Anolis sagrei: one gene and its partner. The protein of the gene in region 1 purifies or fractionates together with the protein of each later gene. This does not show direct contact. Links are inferred from orthologs where the notes say so. Each region holds a gene or a part of one and is shown on either strand. Other genes may lie near its edges. The genes, in order: POC1A and NUDC.

Region 1 (7,887 bases):
CATTGGAACTCATTGCATGATTCATAGGCAAATACTAGCAACAAAGACGCTGCCACAAGAGTTTCAGGAAGTCATGAAATGTGTAATAAGTTGTGTCAATTTTGTGAAGGGAAGTGGTTTAAATTGCAGACTATTTTCACAACTGTGCAGTGAGATGGATGCACCCAGCAATGTCCTCCTATTTCACACGGAAGCGAGATGGCTGTCCAGAGGAAAAGTTTTACGAGTTTATGAGCTTCGGGATGAACTCAAAGTGTTCTTTAACCAAAAAGCAAAACCACAGTTTGAAGCACTTTTCAGCGATCACAGTGAACTGCAAAAAATAGCTTACTTGGCTGATATTTTTGCCATCTTGAATGAATTAAATTTATCACTGCAAGGACCAAATGCTACAAGCCTTGATTTGTCAGAAAAGATCAAAACATTCCAACAGAAACTTCAGTTTTGGGGGAAAAAATTGTATGAAAATAAAATTTATATGCTGCCTACATTATGTGCTTTCTTTGAGGAAAATGATGTTGAACCAGAGGAAAGGATTACAATTATACCTTCTGTGAAAGAACATTTTCACATCCTTGCAGATGAAATTTCATATTATTTTCCAAATCTTCCTGACATCCCCTTTGCACTTGTCAGGAGCCCATTCTCCATCAACGTTGAAGATATTCCTGAGGCAGCACAAGAGGAATTCATTGAACTTATTAACAGTGACGCTGCAAAACCGATTTCTCTACCATGCCCATCACAAAATTCTGGATCAAGTGTTTGCAGTCATATCCCGTTCTGTCTGAGACTGTGTTGCGTCTTCTTGTTCCATTTCCAACAACATATCTTTGTGAACAAGGGTTTTCCAGCTTGTTGGATATCAAGTCTAAAAATAGAGGTAGACTTGTTGTGGAAGACGATCTCCGTTGTGCCCTTGCAAAGACTGCCCCAAGAATTTCTGATTTGGTGAGAAAGAAGCAAGCACAAGCTTCGCACTGATGTTGGCCTTATAATGCGTCCTGCTGGAAAATGTAGCAATGTGGTTTCCTGTTGTTATATTACTAGGTTATAATGTGAGTTGTATGTATGTTAAATCTGTTTGCTGTTATATTGAGACTGTTACCCATGCTATGACATGCTTCAAATCTAAATTTCATTTATTTGCAATTAGAAATAAATATTTCACAATATATAATTACATATTGTTTTTGTGATTAATCACTATGGTTTATGTTCACTTTGTAACAATGAAAATACACCTACATAACCGATATTTATATTGCGATTCTTAACAGTAGCAAATTAAGAGTTACAAAGTAGCAACACATATAATTTTATGGTTGGGGGTCACCACAACATGAGGAACTGTATTAAGGTGTCACAGCATTAGAAAGGTTGAGAACCACTGATCTAGACCAAACTTGGCACAAATATTCCATATGCCCAAATACAAACATAAATGGAGTTTGGGGAAAATAGACCCTGACATTTGGGAGTTGTAGTTATTGGGATTTATAGTTCACCTACAATCAAAGAGCATTCTGAACCTGCCCCTCCCCCAAATGAACTTCCCACACAGAACCCCCATGACCAACAGAAAATACTGTTTTCTGGGGGTTTTGGCGACCCTTCTGACATCCCTCTAGGATCCTGACCCCCACGTTGAGAAATGTTGCCTTAAGGCCATCCAGTCCGACTCCCTTTAGCAGGGCAAGAAAACAATCAAAAACCTTCCTGACAAAGAGCTATCCAGCCATAGATATAGAGATGATTCACACACATATATATATGTGACAGATATAATATCATAGATTTTAAAGGAACCCCTAAAGGGCAATTATATGTTGCATGTTCTAGAGTAGGCAAACCAATCGCACACTGACAGGTCTTGGGCCTGTCTGCGCCCAGGCACTCTCTTGATTTCCCCACAACAAAATCCAGACTTAAAAGTTTGAAGGTAACTGGTTGTTCCAAGGCAAGTGCCCCAAACTAAGCTTCTTCCCAACTGGAGGAAATTGAGAGACTTCCAGAGCAGCAGTTCTTAATATTCACTCATTGTACTGCAACTGCTTTCCAATTAGCTTTCTTTCCTTAAGAAGCCCTGCCATTGAAAACGGAAAATTAAGAAAATAGAGAAAAAGGGAACCACGCAATTGCTCCTGCCACACACAAAAACCATTTTTGCTAAGTTTCCTTCCTTGTTATAAAATATAATAACCTTCCCTTAATTAGAGCAGCTCTTCCCATAAATCTTTGTTTATTAACCAGAACTGGAGAATGCCTAAGCAATGGGAACTATTAAGCATCCCAGAACCCACCCCGACCCTCTCGCCCCATGAGCCAGTCACGTTGTGAAGCCAGCAGGCTGGAGCAGGGAAGAAAAGAGCGGGGGACTGTACCAACAGAATGGAAAAAAGGGGGTGTTTGGGGAGCAGGAGTGAGGGAAAGAGCTCTCCTCTCTCCTCCAAAGACTCCCCCGAATAGCCCAGTAGCACCAAGCCACCATGCTCCCCAGTGTTTTAGTCTGAAATCCAAAGATATCATCTAGTTTGATCAAACTGCTCCACCCAATGGGAAAACCCATCAGCCACCTCCCCCCACCGCCTGCTTCCCTTTGGAACCTTCCAAGCCCCAGTTTGCCACGAGGGCTAGGCTTCTGCTGCGGGGTTTCCATGGAGTTTGGCAGGGGCTGCCTGCAGGGATTAACTCTTCCCGCCCCAAAGAAAGAAAGAAAAGCAAACTAGTACAACAATATCCCAAATCCACAAAAGGGAAGCACCACAATGCAGAAAATGCCTTCCCTGTTGAAATTGTAAAATTATTTATCCTGTTTCATTGCCTTTTCACGGCCCTAATATTTATTATTTATTTATTTGCTGCATTTGTATACTGCCTTTCTCAGCCAATGGCGACTCAAGGCGGTTCACAGTACGCAGTGATTTGATGCTATAGGAATTATAAAAATACACTTAAAACAATTACAAAACATTTAAAATGTGATATAAAAAACAATACATCCTGTAAACACAAAATTCTCAGCGCCTCCTTACTAAAATCATTGTCCAATTGCATCAACGGGCGTTCCGTATATTCATTTTCATCTAGTTATGCTCCAGGTGAAAAAGCTTGCTTAACCATTTTGCAGAATGTTAGATGGGAGGGAGCTGATCTTATATCCCTGGGAAGGGTGTTCCATAGCCGAGGGGCCACCACCAAGAAGGCCCTGTCTCGTCCCCACCAAACGCATCTGTGAGGAAGGCAGGATCGAGAGCAGGGCCTCCCCAGACGATCTTAAAGCCCTATGGTTTATAAGGAGAGATACATTCGGATAGGTAAGCAGGCAAAAAACCCAGAAAAACTTCCTTGTACTTCAGATATTAAAGTAAAGGTAAAGGTTTCCCCTTGACATTAAGCCTAGTCGTGTCAGACTCTGCGGGGTGGTGCTCATCTCCATTTCTAAGCCGAAGAGCCGGCTTTGTCCATAGACGCCTCCAAGGTCATGCAGCCAGCATGACTGCATGGAGCACCGTTACCTTCCCACAGATCTCACATTTGCATGTTTTCGAACTGTTAGGTTGGCAGAAGCAGGGGCTATCAGTGGGAGCTCACCCCGCTCCCCGTTAACCTTTTGGTCAGCAAGTTTAGCAGCTCAGCAGTTTAACCCACTGCGCAGATACTATGCAACCATTAAAAAAGAAAAGAAAAAGAAGCAAAAAAAAATCAGACGCAAACACCAAAAACCTGCTTTACCATCAATATTTTTTTCCTTACCCCCTTCATGGATTATGTTTAAAATGAAAATACCAAGAAGTGTAATCGTGAAGGTCTTAAGGGAATACACAGAAACCAGCTATTTTCAATGATTCCAACCACGAGAGCCTTCAACAACACAAACCAGCAAATGCCAACACAAATATACAAAAAAGAAAGAAAAAAAAACATTCAGAGTCAGTCCCACCGAGGCTCCTTCCACACAGCCATATAACTCAGAATATCAAGGTAGATAATCCCCAATATCTGGTTTGAACTGGGTTATCTGAGTCCACACTCACATAAGGTGGGATTTTCTGCCTTGATATTCTAGGATATAGGGCTGTGTGGAAGGGCCCAGAGGCTCCTTCCACAGACATATAACCCAGAATATCAAGGCAGATAATCCACAATATCTACTTTGAACTGGGTTATCTGAGTCCACACTGCCATACAACCCAGTTCAGAGCAAGTAATATAGGATTTTGTATAGCTGTGTGAAAGGGGCCTAGAGGCTCCTTCTGCACTGCCATATAATCCAGATTATCAAAGCAGAAAATCCATAACGTTTGTTTTGAACTGGATTTTATGAGTGTACACTTCTATATAATCCAGCTCAAAGAAGATAATCTAGATTGTATATGGCAGTGTTGAAGGGGCCTCAGTGGCTGAGGGGGGAAAGGAAGGGGCCTGAGGCTGTGAGGAATGGTGGGAGTTGAAGTCCAAAACCCCTGGAGGGCCCAAGTTTGCTCATATCTGCTTTCTTGTATTTGGAAATTTCTCAATCATGATGAGAAAAGGCGTCCTGGGCATACTTTCCAAGAACAGGAAGTCGCCCCCACTTCCCTCCCTCCCTCGCTTCCTGCCGGATTCCCTCTCTTCTTCCCGCGCTTTTCTTTTCTTGTCGGAGGGCAACATTTCTGGCCTTCCCCGCCGCCTCCCCTTTAAGCGCAGGACGCCGTTACTAAGGCGGAGGGCAGGGCGCGCAAACTGAATCCGTCCGGCGGCAACAATCGCGGCGAGGCTTCGTTCCGCTGGGACTCTTTCGGCAACATGGCGTTTTCTTGCTTGGTAAGGGCAGAAGGGGGGAAACGGGGGAAGGAGAAGCTGGCCCCACTGGCAACAGGGCTTGGAAATGGCAAGGCAGGGGAGTGGAGTGGGAGAAGAGCCGGGGGGAGGCCTGACTAAGTCCCTCCCCTTTGCTGCCTGGGAGTTGTAACTTCTCAGGCCCCTTCCACACATGATCTGCTTTGAGCTGGAATATATAGCAGTGTGGACTCAGATAACCCAGTTCAAAGCAGATATTGTGGGATTTTCTGCCTTGATATTCTGGATTATATGGCTGTGTGGAAGGGCCCTCACAGAGGAGGAAGAGAGGTGCAAGGGAGAACCAGAGAGTCATTTGGAAAGGAAGAGTTTATTAGTTTGGGAAACATACCTTTCACATGTATTTATATCCCGCATTCTCTATCTCAAAAGAGACTCGGTGCCCTTCCACACAGCCATAAAACCCAGAATATAAAGGCAGAAAATCCCACATTAAGTGTGGACACAGATAACCCAGTTCAACTATGTGCTATGCTAATAATATAATATTTATAATTTTTTTTGTCGTGTCAGGAGCGACTTGAGAGACTGCAAGTCGCTTCTGGTGTGAGAGAATTGGCCATCTGCAAGGGCCAATTCTCTCACACCAGGGTTGGCTTGACACGCCTTCCTATTGGCACCCTCCATAGGTGCCTCTTCAAATTCCACGGCATTGCTGGTCACAACTGACCTCCAGTTAGAATGCTCAGGGGCCAGGGCTTCTCAGTTCTCGGTGTCTATGCCACAGTTTTTAAGGTTAGCTTTAAGCCCATCTTTAAATCTCTTTTCCTATCCACCAACATTTATTTATTTATATATATACACCGCTTTTCTCAGCCCTCAGGCAACTCAAAGTGGTGAACTACATCAATACAAAACATCACGAGACAAGTATAGGGCAATTAAAAACAATTGTAACATAAATCATTAAACATCCGTATAACAATCATTAGCGCCTCAACAGTAAAATCGGAATCCAGTCTCGTTATCCATTATTCCGTATTCCTATGTTCAATTATACTGTTTAATCAAATGCTTGTTCGAACAGCTCCTCCGAAACCCCAGCAGGAAGGGGGCCAATCTGATATCTGCAGTCAGGGCATTCCACAGCCGAGGGGCCACCACTGAGAAGGCCCTGTCTCTTGTCCCTGCCAAGCGCACCTGTGATGCAGGCGGGACAGAGTGCAGGGCCTCTCCAGATGATCTTAGTGTCCTAGCCGGTTCATAGGAGGAGATGCGTTCGGAGAGGTAAGTAGGGCCAGAACCGTTTAGGGCTTTCTGTTTTCTGTTCTTGAATTGGGAGTATAGAAGCTGCTTCAGGCATTCGGACAATGTAGCTAGTCCAGCTGAGTTGATGGAAAAAGGACCATCTCTTCAATGCTGGTGGTCTTTGTTTCTTCCAGCACACTGGCATTTGTCCACCTGCCTTCCCAAGAGATTTGCATGATTTTTCAGAGGCAATGCTGATGGACTTGTTCCAGGAGTTGAGTGTGACTTCTGTAGACAGTCCACATTTTGCAGGCATATAACAGGGTTGGGAGGACAATAACTTTATAAATAAACACCTTGGTCTCCCTACGGATGTTCCGATCCTCTAACACTCTCTGCTTCATTAGGAAAAATGCTGCACTCACAGAGCTCAGGCGGTGTTGTATTTCAGTGTCAATGCTGACGTTTGTGCAGAGGTGGCTGTCAAGGTAGCAGAAATGGTCAAAGTAGATATTGTGCGATTTTATTCAGCTGTGCGGAAGAGGCCTAATCAAAGCATCCAAAACGCAGTCCTCTCCTTTCTCTTTAGTATTAAGTTCAGCTAACTTTTTCTCATAGTTTTCTTAGCTGACCAACGTAATGTGCAGGCCTCTTTGAAGGCCAGAATAGAAATAAATACTCAGGCCTCTGCCACACAGCTGTATAAAATCCACACTGAACTGGCAGTGTACACTCAGATAACCCAGGGCCCTTTCACACAGCCATATAGCCCAGAACATCAAGGCAGAAAATCCAAAAATACCTGCTTTGAACTGGGTGATCTGAATCCACACTGCCATATATTCCAGTTCAAAGCAGATATTGTGAATGATCTGCCTTGATATTCTGGGTAATATGGCTGTGTAGAAGGGCCCTCAGTTGGATGTGGCTGGGAATCATGCAAAAACCCATGACCCTTCTACACTGCCATATAAAATCCAGATTATCTGCTTTGAACTGGATTATATGACAGTGTAGAAGGGCCATGAGTTCATGTGCAATTTGTGCAGTTAGTCTCTGCTTACATTTACATGTTTTCGAACTGCTAGGTTGGCAGAAATGGAGCCTAAAAGCGGGAGCTCACCCCGCTCCCTGGATTTGAACCCCCAGTCTTTCAGTCAGCAAGTTCAGCAGCTAGCAGTGTCCCTAGAAGACATAACTAACCTAAAATCAAAATGGTTAGGATGTATTTCATTATAACTAATTTCTGTATGGTAACTGTTACTTTCTGGACTAGATATCAGAAACTTGAGAAACAGCTTTCCAGGAAATAAATGATTGATTAGGAACTCATGTCTCCTATGTAGTCTATATAGCAGTGATATTTCTCTTACAGGTGTTAAATGTATGTATTATTTAGGTTTTTAAATACTCCCCCCCCCCCCCCAGTGTTTCATAATCAGTCTGGTTCTGTATATCAGGGCAGAGATAAAACATTATGGAAGGCACAGAACTACTTCTGGAAATATATAAGCATCCCTTCAGTTATTCATGGACTTTAGAATGGGAAACATGCTATTCAAATTAATGCTGATATTCTTCAGACAAATTTTGCATGCTGTATGGAATTTCGCAAAATTCCAAACATACAGCAGCCATATAGATTGTATCTTCCCTAAGAATGGCTTGCATGTAACAGTTGTAAGCATGTGTCTAAAAAGTGTGGCCAGGAAATATTGTATTTTTTCATCTGTGTTGTTTTCTGAAATACCTGATCATCTTCAAAGCCAATTGTAGTTCCAACATCAGTGAAAGCATGGCAGAAAAAGAGACACAGGATGCATCTATGCTATAGAAGTAATGTAGTTTGGCACCACT
Region 2 (7,569 bases), on another chromosome or scaffold:
ATGGGGATGCTGGTTTCAGTGTGATATATAACATACTAATGAGGTCGAACCCAGAACTCCCTGCCTTCAAGCTGATCTGACCTGCAGCAGGGAGTTTCTCAGTTCTCCATTGCCCCGCTTGGGCCAATCTGTATGAACGTGGCCACAGCAGCAGCTGCAAATCAGGAGCCTTATTACTTCGCTTTCTTGCCCCTTCTAACATTATAACTAACCCCCCAATAAAAGTATCAATTAATTGTAATCTTTTTCCTCTCCACAGTGTTACTTTGTGTCCTTTTATTGCCTCTAACCTCTCTCCGCATGAACCTTTCCTCTCCCAGACTGCAGATCGCTGCCGGTCCGCCCGGGATGCGAACCTGGCCACTTGTCAACAATGGGACATCCTGCCTTCAGGGAAGATCAAGATGTCCCATCCACCACTCTCATTGTCTTTGCCCCTTGGAATGAAACCCACACACAGATAGCATCAATCAATCCCATATCTGAGACAGAAGGATATCAAGGCTTGGCAGCAGTTCCAGCCACTTTTGCATGTTTCAACCTCTCAGGACAATACAAGGCCAGCTTGAGGAATCTCCGGATTATCGCCGGCTATCGGACAACACATTAAACCACAATAATCCAATCATTTTTCCTCTCGGTTCATTGTTTTCCCACTTGTACTGCTTCCTTGACTCCCATTGGCTCAGGAGCCGGAGCGGCGCTGGCTTCCCCATTGGCTGAGGGCGCTCAGGGGTGGCTCAACCCATTACGCAAAGTAAGCATTTGCAGTATAGATTATTTTGGCCAGGGGCGCTCTTGAGGCGCTCTTGGGGGAAAATAGACCTATGAGAGTTGTAGTTACTGGGATGTATAGTTCACCTACAATCAAAGAGCATTCTGAACTCCACCAATGATGGAATTGAACCAAATATGGCACACAGAACTCCCACGACGAACAGAAAATATATATCAGTGATTGGTTGGGGGGGGGGGGCGCCAAAACACTGTTTGCCACCTCTGGCTGCGCCTCCCTCCAGCAGATGACACCAACCAATCAGCGCAAAGCCGGCAGAGGGGCGGGGGGCGAGAAGTTTGAATCTGACAATCTGTATTTTCTATAAAATGTACCCTTTTCTCCCTTGCCAAACATGTCAACTTTGGCAAGAAATTGTGGTTTGACATCCGTACCAGCTGGGACGAAATAAAGACAACTCGGTGGCTTTTCTTCAACTTGGTGAGACTTTTATTGGGAAAAAATAGGAAAAATCTTGGGTGCTTTCTTTGTCTCGCCAGGGCTCCGGACTCTCCTTGGTGAGTCTGATTGGTCTTTGCCTCCTGGCAAAGACCCCTAAATTCTTGCTCAATATCACTTTGACCTGAGTAAATGGATACATAATGGTCGTGTGTATATGGCATTCTCTGTGTTAATGGCTCAGTCTGAGATGACATCTAAATAAAAGAGTAAAATATAATCCCAAGTACACACATCTGGATTCTTAAATACTTTCTTAGTGGAATAACAAATTGGAGAGAATTTAGGATGACACAACCAACATTTTTATCTTTCACTGCATGCTCTTCTAAAATCAAAACTAATTTTCAGCCAGATTGTGTCTGATACTATAAACATACAACCGTAAGATTTGACAAATGGTCATGGTCCCCACCCTTTTTTCTCAGAGAGTGCCATCTAACAGCTAATTTCTTATGGAAGCTTTGCCAGGAAATATAAATACAGGCACCAAATGCAAGTTTCATTCGCCTTGAAAAAAAATTCATGCATGACACTGCACAACAGGCGGCTGCTAGACAATAAAAAGTGTGCCTTGCCTCTCTCCCTCCAGGGCTGTTTTCTTTAATTGAGCAGAACAACACAAAACCTGTTTCTAGAAATGCACTATTCTTATTCTTTTTCTTCAGCATTTGTCCTGCTTGATGGCGGGGTTTGCTTTACAAGTTTACTGGCACCATTTCACCTGATCGTGCGCCTGATCAGGGTGTATGCCAGTACTCTTCAGATGGTTGTACAATGTGTCCAGCCAGCATTGCTTCAGTAGTCAGAAAAGCACCCACCTTGTCCACCTTCCGTAAGGACTTAAAAACTTGGATGTTCCGTCGCGCCTTTGATTAGGCAACTGGCTCGACCCTATCTAAGCTCCTGCAGTTTAGTTTGGCCTACCCCCACTAATCTCGACACTTTATTGCCAAAGGTATTCCCTCTAGATTGGCACATTTGAATTTTTGCACTTTCCCTCAGCTCTACTTAGGAATTCGCTGCACTTACTTGAGCTCTGATTCTGTTTCCAGCCATGATATTGTTTCTATGATGTTGTTGTTGTGACTGTGTTATGTTTTTATTTGATTGATTTTAATGCTGTTGTTTTTATCTGTGATTTTTGGGCTTGTCCCCATGTAAGCTGCCCTGAGTTACCTTGGGGAGATGGTGGCGGGGTATAGAAATAATTTTTTTTATTATTATTATTTAAAACACAACAAGTTGAGGCCACAACAAACAAAATCACTCTGCTGGCTGTTGTATTGGATCACACATCGGGCACTTCGCAAGTGTCTAGGACTGTGTGATGTATCGGCAAATAATAGGTGTAGATCCCAGTAAGGTAGCCTTTTGCAGCTGACAGATGGTAATTTTGTCAGCACCAATTGTTTTTGAGTGCAGGCCAGGGTCTTTAGGCACTACACCCAGTGTGCCGATCACCACTGGGACCACCTTTACTGGTTTGTGCCAGAGTCTTTGCAGTTTGATTATATTATTATTATTATTATTATTATCATCATCATCATCATCATGATTATTGTATTGTCAAAGGCTTTCATGGCTGGAATCACTGGGTCGTTGTAGGCTTTTCGGCTAGAGAGAATGTTCTAGAAGCATTCTCTCCTGATGTTTCACCTGCATCTATGGCAAGCATCCTCAGAGGTTGTGAGGTCAAGGTCTTTAGGCACTGCACCCAGTGTGCCGATCACTACTGGGACCACCTTTACTGGCTTGTGCCAGAGTCTTTGCAGTTTGATTATATTATTGTTATCATTATTATTGTATTGTCAAAGGCTTTCATGGCTGGAATCACTGGGTTGCTGTAGGCTTTTCGGCTAGAGAGAATGTTCTAGAACAGTGGTTCTAAACCTGGGGTCCCCAGATGTTTTTGGCCTACAACTCCCAGAAATCCCAGCCAGTTTAACAGATTTTAGGATTTCTGGGAGTTGAAGGCCAAAAACATCTAGGGATCGTAGGTTGAGAACCACTGTTCTAGAAGCATTCTCTCCTGACGTTTCGCCTGCATCTATGTCAAGCATCCTCAGAGGTTGTGAGGTCAAGGTCTTTAGGCACTGCACCCAGTGTGCCGATCACCACTGGGACCACCTTTACTAGTTTGTGCCAGTCTTTGCAGTTCGATCTTTAAATCCTCATATCATGACAGCTTTTCCAGTTGTTACTCTTCAATCCTGCTGTCGCCTGGGATTGCAACATCAACGATCCATACTTTGTTGTTGTTTATTATTTGGTCTCTTGCCAGGCATTTCTAAATCAAGAGCTGTCTTGCAAATGAATTTGACTTCACCTCGGCGAGTATGACCATATCAAGTTTCTATACCAGTGTTTCTCAACCTGGGGGTCGGGACCCCTGGGGGGGTCGCGAAGGGGTGTCAGAGGGGTCGCCAAAGACCATCAGAAAATACAGTATTTTCTGTTGGTCATGGGGGTTCTGTGTGGGAAGTTTGGCCCAATTCATTGTTGGGGTTCAGAACACTCCTTGATTGTAGGTGAACTATAAATCCCAGCAAGTACAACTCCCAAATGTCAAAGTCTATTTTCCCCAAACCCCATCAGTGTTCACATTTGGGCATATTGAGTATCCGTGACAAGTTTGGTCCAGATCCATCATTGTTTGAGCCCACAGGCCCTTTCCTGTTCCTTTTCCCTTTCCTTTTTCTGCTTAAGCGGCTAAGGGGGAAAAGGAAAGGGCCTGGGGCTGTTAGGAATTGTGGGAGTTGGAGTCCAAAACACCTGGAAGGAGGGCCCAAGTTGGCCCAGGCCTGCTATATAGCCAATTTCAATTCACTAGGTTCTTGTGGGTTTTTTCGGGCTATAGAGCCATGTTCTAGAGGCATTTCTCCTGACGTTTCGCCTGCATCTATGGCAAGCATCCTCAGAGGTTGTGAGGTGGCTCTATAGCCCGAAAAAACCCACAAGAACCTAGTGATTCCAGCCATGAAAGCCTTCGACAATACAATTTCAATTCAATTCTAGCACTTCCTATCGGCCCTTACAGAAGAGGCTTCGTAACCATAGCAACGGACGCCACACCACGAGGCCCAACGGACAGCCCGCTGACTTCCTCCGAGCCCTGATTGGAAGGCCCGCCTGCCAATTAAGCTCTCCCGGTCGGCGATTGGCCAGAAGCAACAGGAAGGGGTTGGACAAGGCCTTCGCTTCCTGTTCCTGAGGCAGTGCGGGCCGTGCGTGTCAGAGGCTCTCCGTCGCCTGTGGTGAAAGATTTCGGAGCGAAGAGGAGGCGAGATGGGCGCCAGCGGGGAAGAGGCGGCTGAGAGTGAGGAGCGCTTCGACGGCATGTTGCTGGCTATGGCGCAGCAGCACCCGGGCGGCGTGAGGGAGGTGAGAGGCCGGGCAGGGCGAAGAGGGCCTTCCTCCTTCCCTCCCTTCCGGAGAGACAGGGTCTCCTCTCAGGCCCTGCTGACCATTGTATCCCCCTGGACCGCCTCGCGGGAATGGGACTGGGAAGCACTGTTTTCCAGTGGCTTCGACCCTTCTTGGAGGGGGATTCTTGTTCGACCCATAACCGTTGACCTGTGGGGACCTGAGTTATTTATTTATCGTGTCATCAGCAACCATACCATTGTGTTACAATTCTAACAGAACAAAACAAATACACAGATTAAAAAGAAAAGAAAAAAACACAGATTTTGCAATTTTGGTAGTTGGTTAAATGTCCTTTGACCAGTATCTGGCCACTTGGAGTGCTTCTGGTGTTGCCGCAAGAAGGTCCTCCATTGTGCATGTGGCAGGGCTCAGGGTGCATTGCAGCAGGTGGTCAGTGGTTTGTTCTCCACACTCGCATGCCGAGGATTCCACTTTGTAGCCCCATTTCTTAAGATTGGCTCTGCATCTTGTGGTGCCAGAGCGCAGTCTGTTCAGCGCCTTCAAAGTCTCCCAGTCTTCTGTGTGCCCAGGGGGGAGTCTCTCATCTGGTATCACCCATGGATTGAGGTGCTGGGTTTGAGCCTGCCACTTTTGGACTCTCGCTTGCTGGGGTGTTCCAGTGAGTGTCCCTGTAGATCTAAGAAAACTATTTCTTCATTTAAGTCGTTGGCGTGCTGGCTGATACCCAAACGGGATGAGCTGGAGATGTCTCTGCCTTGGTCCTTTCACTATTGGCTGCTACTTCCCGGCGGATGTCAGGTGGTGCAATACCGGCTAAGCAGTGTAATTTCTCCAGTGGTGTAGGGCGCAGACACCCTGTGATAATGCGGCATGTCTCATTAAGAGCCACATCTACTGTTTTAGTGTGGTGAGATGTGTTCCACACTGGGCATGCATACTCAGCAGCAGAGTAGCATAGCGCAAGGGCAGATGTCTTCACTGTGTCTGGTTGTGATCCCCAGGTTGTGCCAGTCAGCTTTCGTATGATGTTGTTTCTAGCGCCCACTTTTTGCTTGATGTTCAGGCAGTGCTTCTTGTAGGTCAGAGCACGGTCCAAAGTGACTCCCAGGTATTTGGGTGCGCTGCAATGCTCCAGTGGGATCCCTTCCCAGGTAATCCTCAGAGCTCGGGATGCTTGTCTGTTCTTAAGGTGAAAGGCGCATGTCTGTGTTTTAGATGGATTAGGGATCTGTTGCTTTTCCCTGTAATAGGCAGTAAGAGCACCTAGAGCTTCAGAGAGCTTCTGTTCAACCATCTCAAAGTTCCTTGCTTGAGCGGTGATGGCACAATCATCAGCATAGATGAAACTCTCTGTCCCTTCTGGCAGTGGCTGGTCATTTGTGTAGATGTTGAACATGGATGGAGCAAGGACGCTCCCCTGAGGCAGGCCGCTCTTCTGTTTCCGCCATCTGCTTCTCTGGCCCTGGAACTCAACAAAGAAGCTCCTGTTTTGTAGCAGGTTTCCTATGAGGCGGGTGAGGTGGTAGTCCTTTGTGATATTATACATTTTTCTCAGGAGGAGGCGGTGGTTCACAGTATCATAGGCTGCTGACAAGTCAATGAAGACAGATCCAGAAGCAACCAGGGGACCTGAGTAAACCGCAGGGTTCAGGACTGTCCCCCATGTTATTTATGTGACCCTCCAGCTTTTTTGTGCCACCAAGTCCCATAATTCCTGGCTACTGAACAAGCTGGCAAAAGCTCCTGGGAGTTGGAGGCCCAAACACCTGGAGGGTCGCAGTTTGAGGATCTCTGACTATATAGTGTACTTTCAAACTTCATAATAATCTATATATATATAAATGCTCTGTGCATAATGAGTACCTTAAAAACAAAAGAACCAGTGAATGAAATCACACCAAATTTGGCAACAAAATGTCTCACAACACAAGGAGTGACCATCGCTCAAAAAAAATGGTTTTATTTATTTATTTATTTATTTATTTAAAAGTTTTGTATACCGACCTTCTCACCTCTCTTGAGGGACTCAGACCGGTTTCCAACCATAATATCACATACAATCAATAAAACATCATAATACATGTTACAGTAAAACATTAAAACAGCAATTACAGTCAATAACTATAATGGTCAGTCGTCATACTAAAATCGTTGATCATCATCCTCCATCCATATCTCAGGGTATTGGCTCACTCGTCGAATGCCTGTCTCCATAACCAAGTCTTCACCTGTTTCCTAAATGTCAGGATAGAAGGGGCGGTTCTGATCTCCAGTGGGAGAGAGTTCCAGAGTCGAGAGGCCACCACCGAGAAGGCCCTGTCCCTCGTTCTCACCAGACGCACTTACGAGGCTGGTGGGACCGAGAGCAGGGCCTCTCCAGACGATCTTAATAATCTTGATGGTTTTGTCATTTGGAAGTTGTAGTTGCTGGGATTTATAGTTCACCTATAATCAAAGAGCATTCTGAACTCCACCAACGATGTGATTAAATCAAACTTGGCACACAGGACTCCCCTGACCAGCAGAAAACACTAGAAGGGTTTGGTGGGCATTGACCTTGAGTTTTGGAGTTGGAGCTCACCTACATCTAGAGAGCACTGTGGACTCAAACAATGATGGATCTGGACCAAACTTGGCACGAATACTCAATACGCCCAAATATAATCACAGATGGACTAGGTTTATCATTCACCTACAATCAAGGAGCATTCTGAACCCCACCAACGACAGAATTGGGAGAAACTTCCCACACAGAAACCCCATGACCAACAGAAAATACTGTATTTTCTGGTGGTCTTTGGTGACCTTTCTGACACCCCTCGCAACCCCCCCCCCCCGGGGCCCCAAACCCAAGGTTGAGAAATACTGCCTTAAGGCCATCCAGTCCAACTCCCTTCACCAGGGCAAGAAAACATAAAGCCCTCCTGACAGAGAGCCATCCAGCC

What was found.
Region 2: the proteins of POC1A (region 1) and NUDC purify together in Homo sapiens (co-immunoprecipitation; 3 studies listed by BioGRID and IntAct, with this or other methods). This does not show direct contact. The link is inferred for Anolis sagrei from reciprocal best matches to the Homo sapiens genes POC1A and NUDC.

Annotation. Positions count from the first base shown.
Region 1 is NC_090022.1:69,060,162-69,068,048, reverse strand, and holds the start of POC1A (POC1 centriolar protein homolog A), read left to right. Parts: upstream 1-4,629; 5' UTR 4,630-4,788; coding exon 4,789-4,806; intron 4,807-7,887.
Region 2 is NC_090034.1:72,669,035-72,676,603, forward strand, and holds the start of NUDC (nuclear migration protein nudC), read left to right. Parts: upstream 1-4,415; 5' UTR 4,416-4,522; coding exon 4,523-4,618; intron 4,619-7,569. UniProt on the Homo sapiens protein: Plays a role in neurogenesis and neuronal migration. Necessary for correct formation of mitotic spindles and chromosome separation during mitosis. Necessary for cytokinesis and cell proliferation.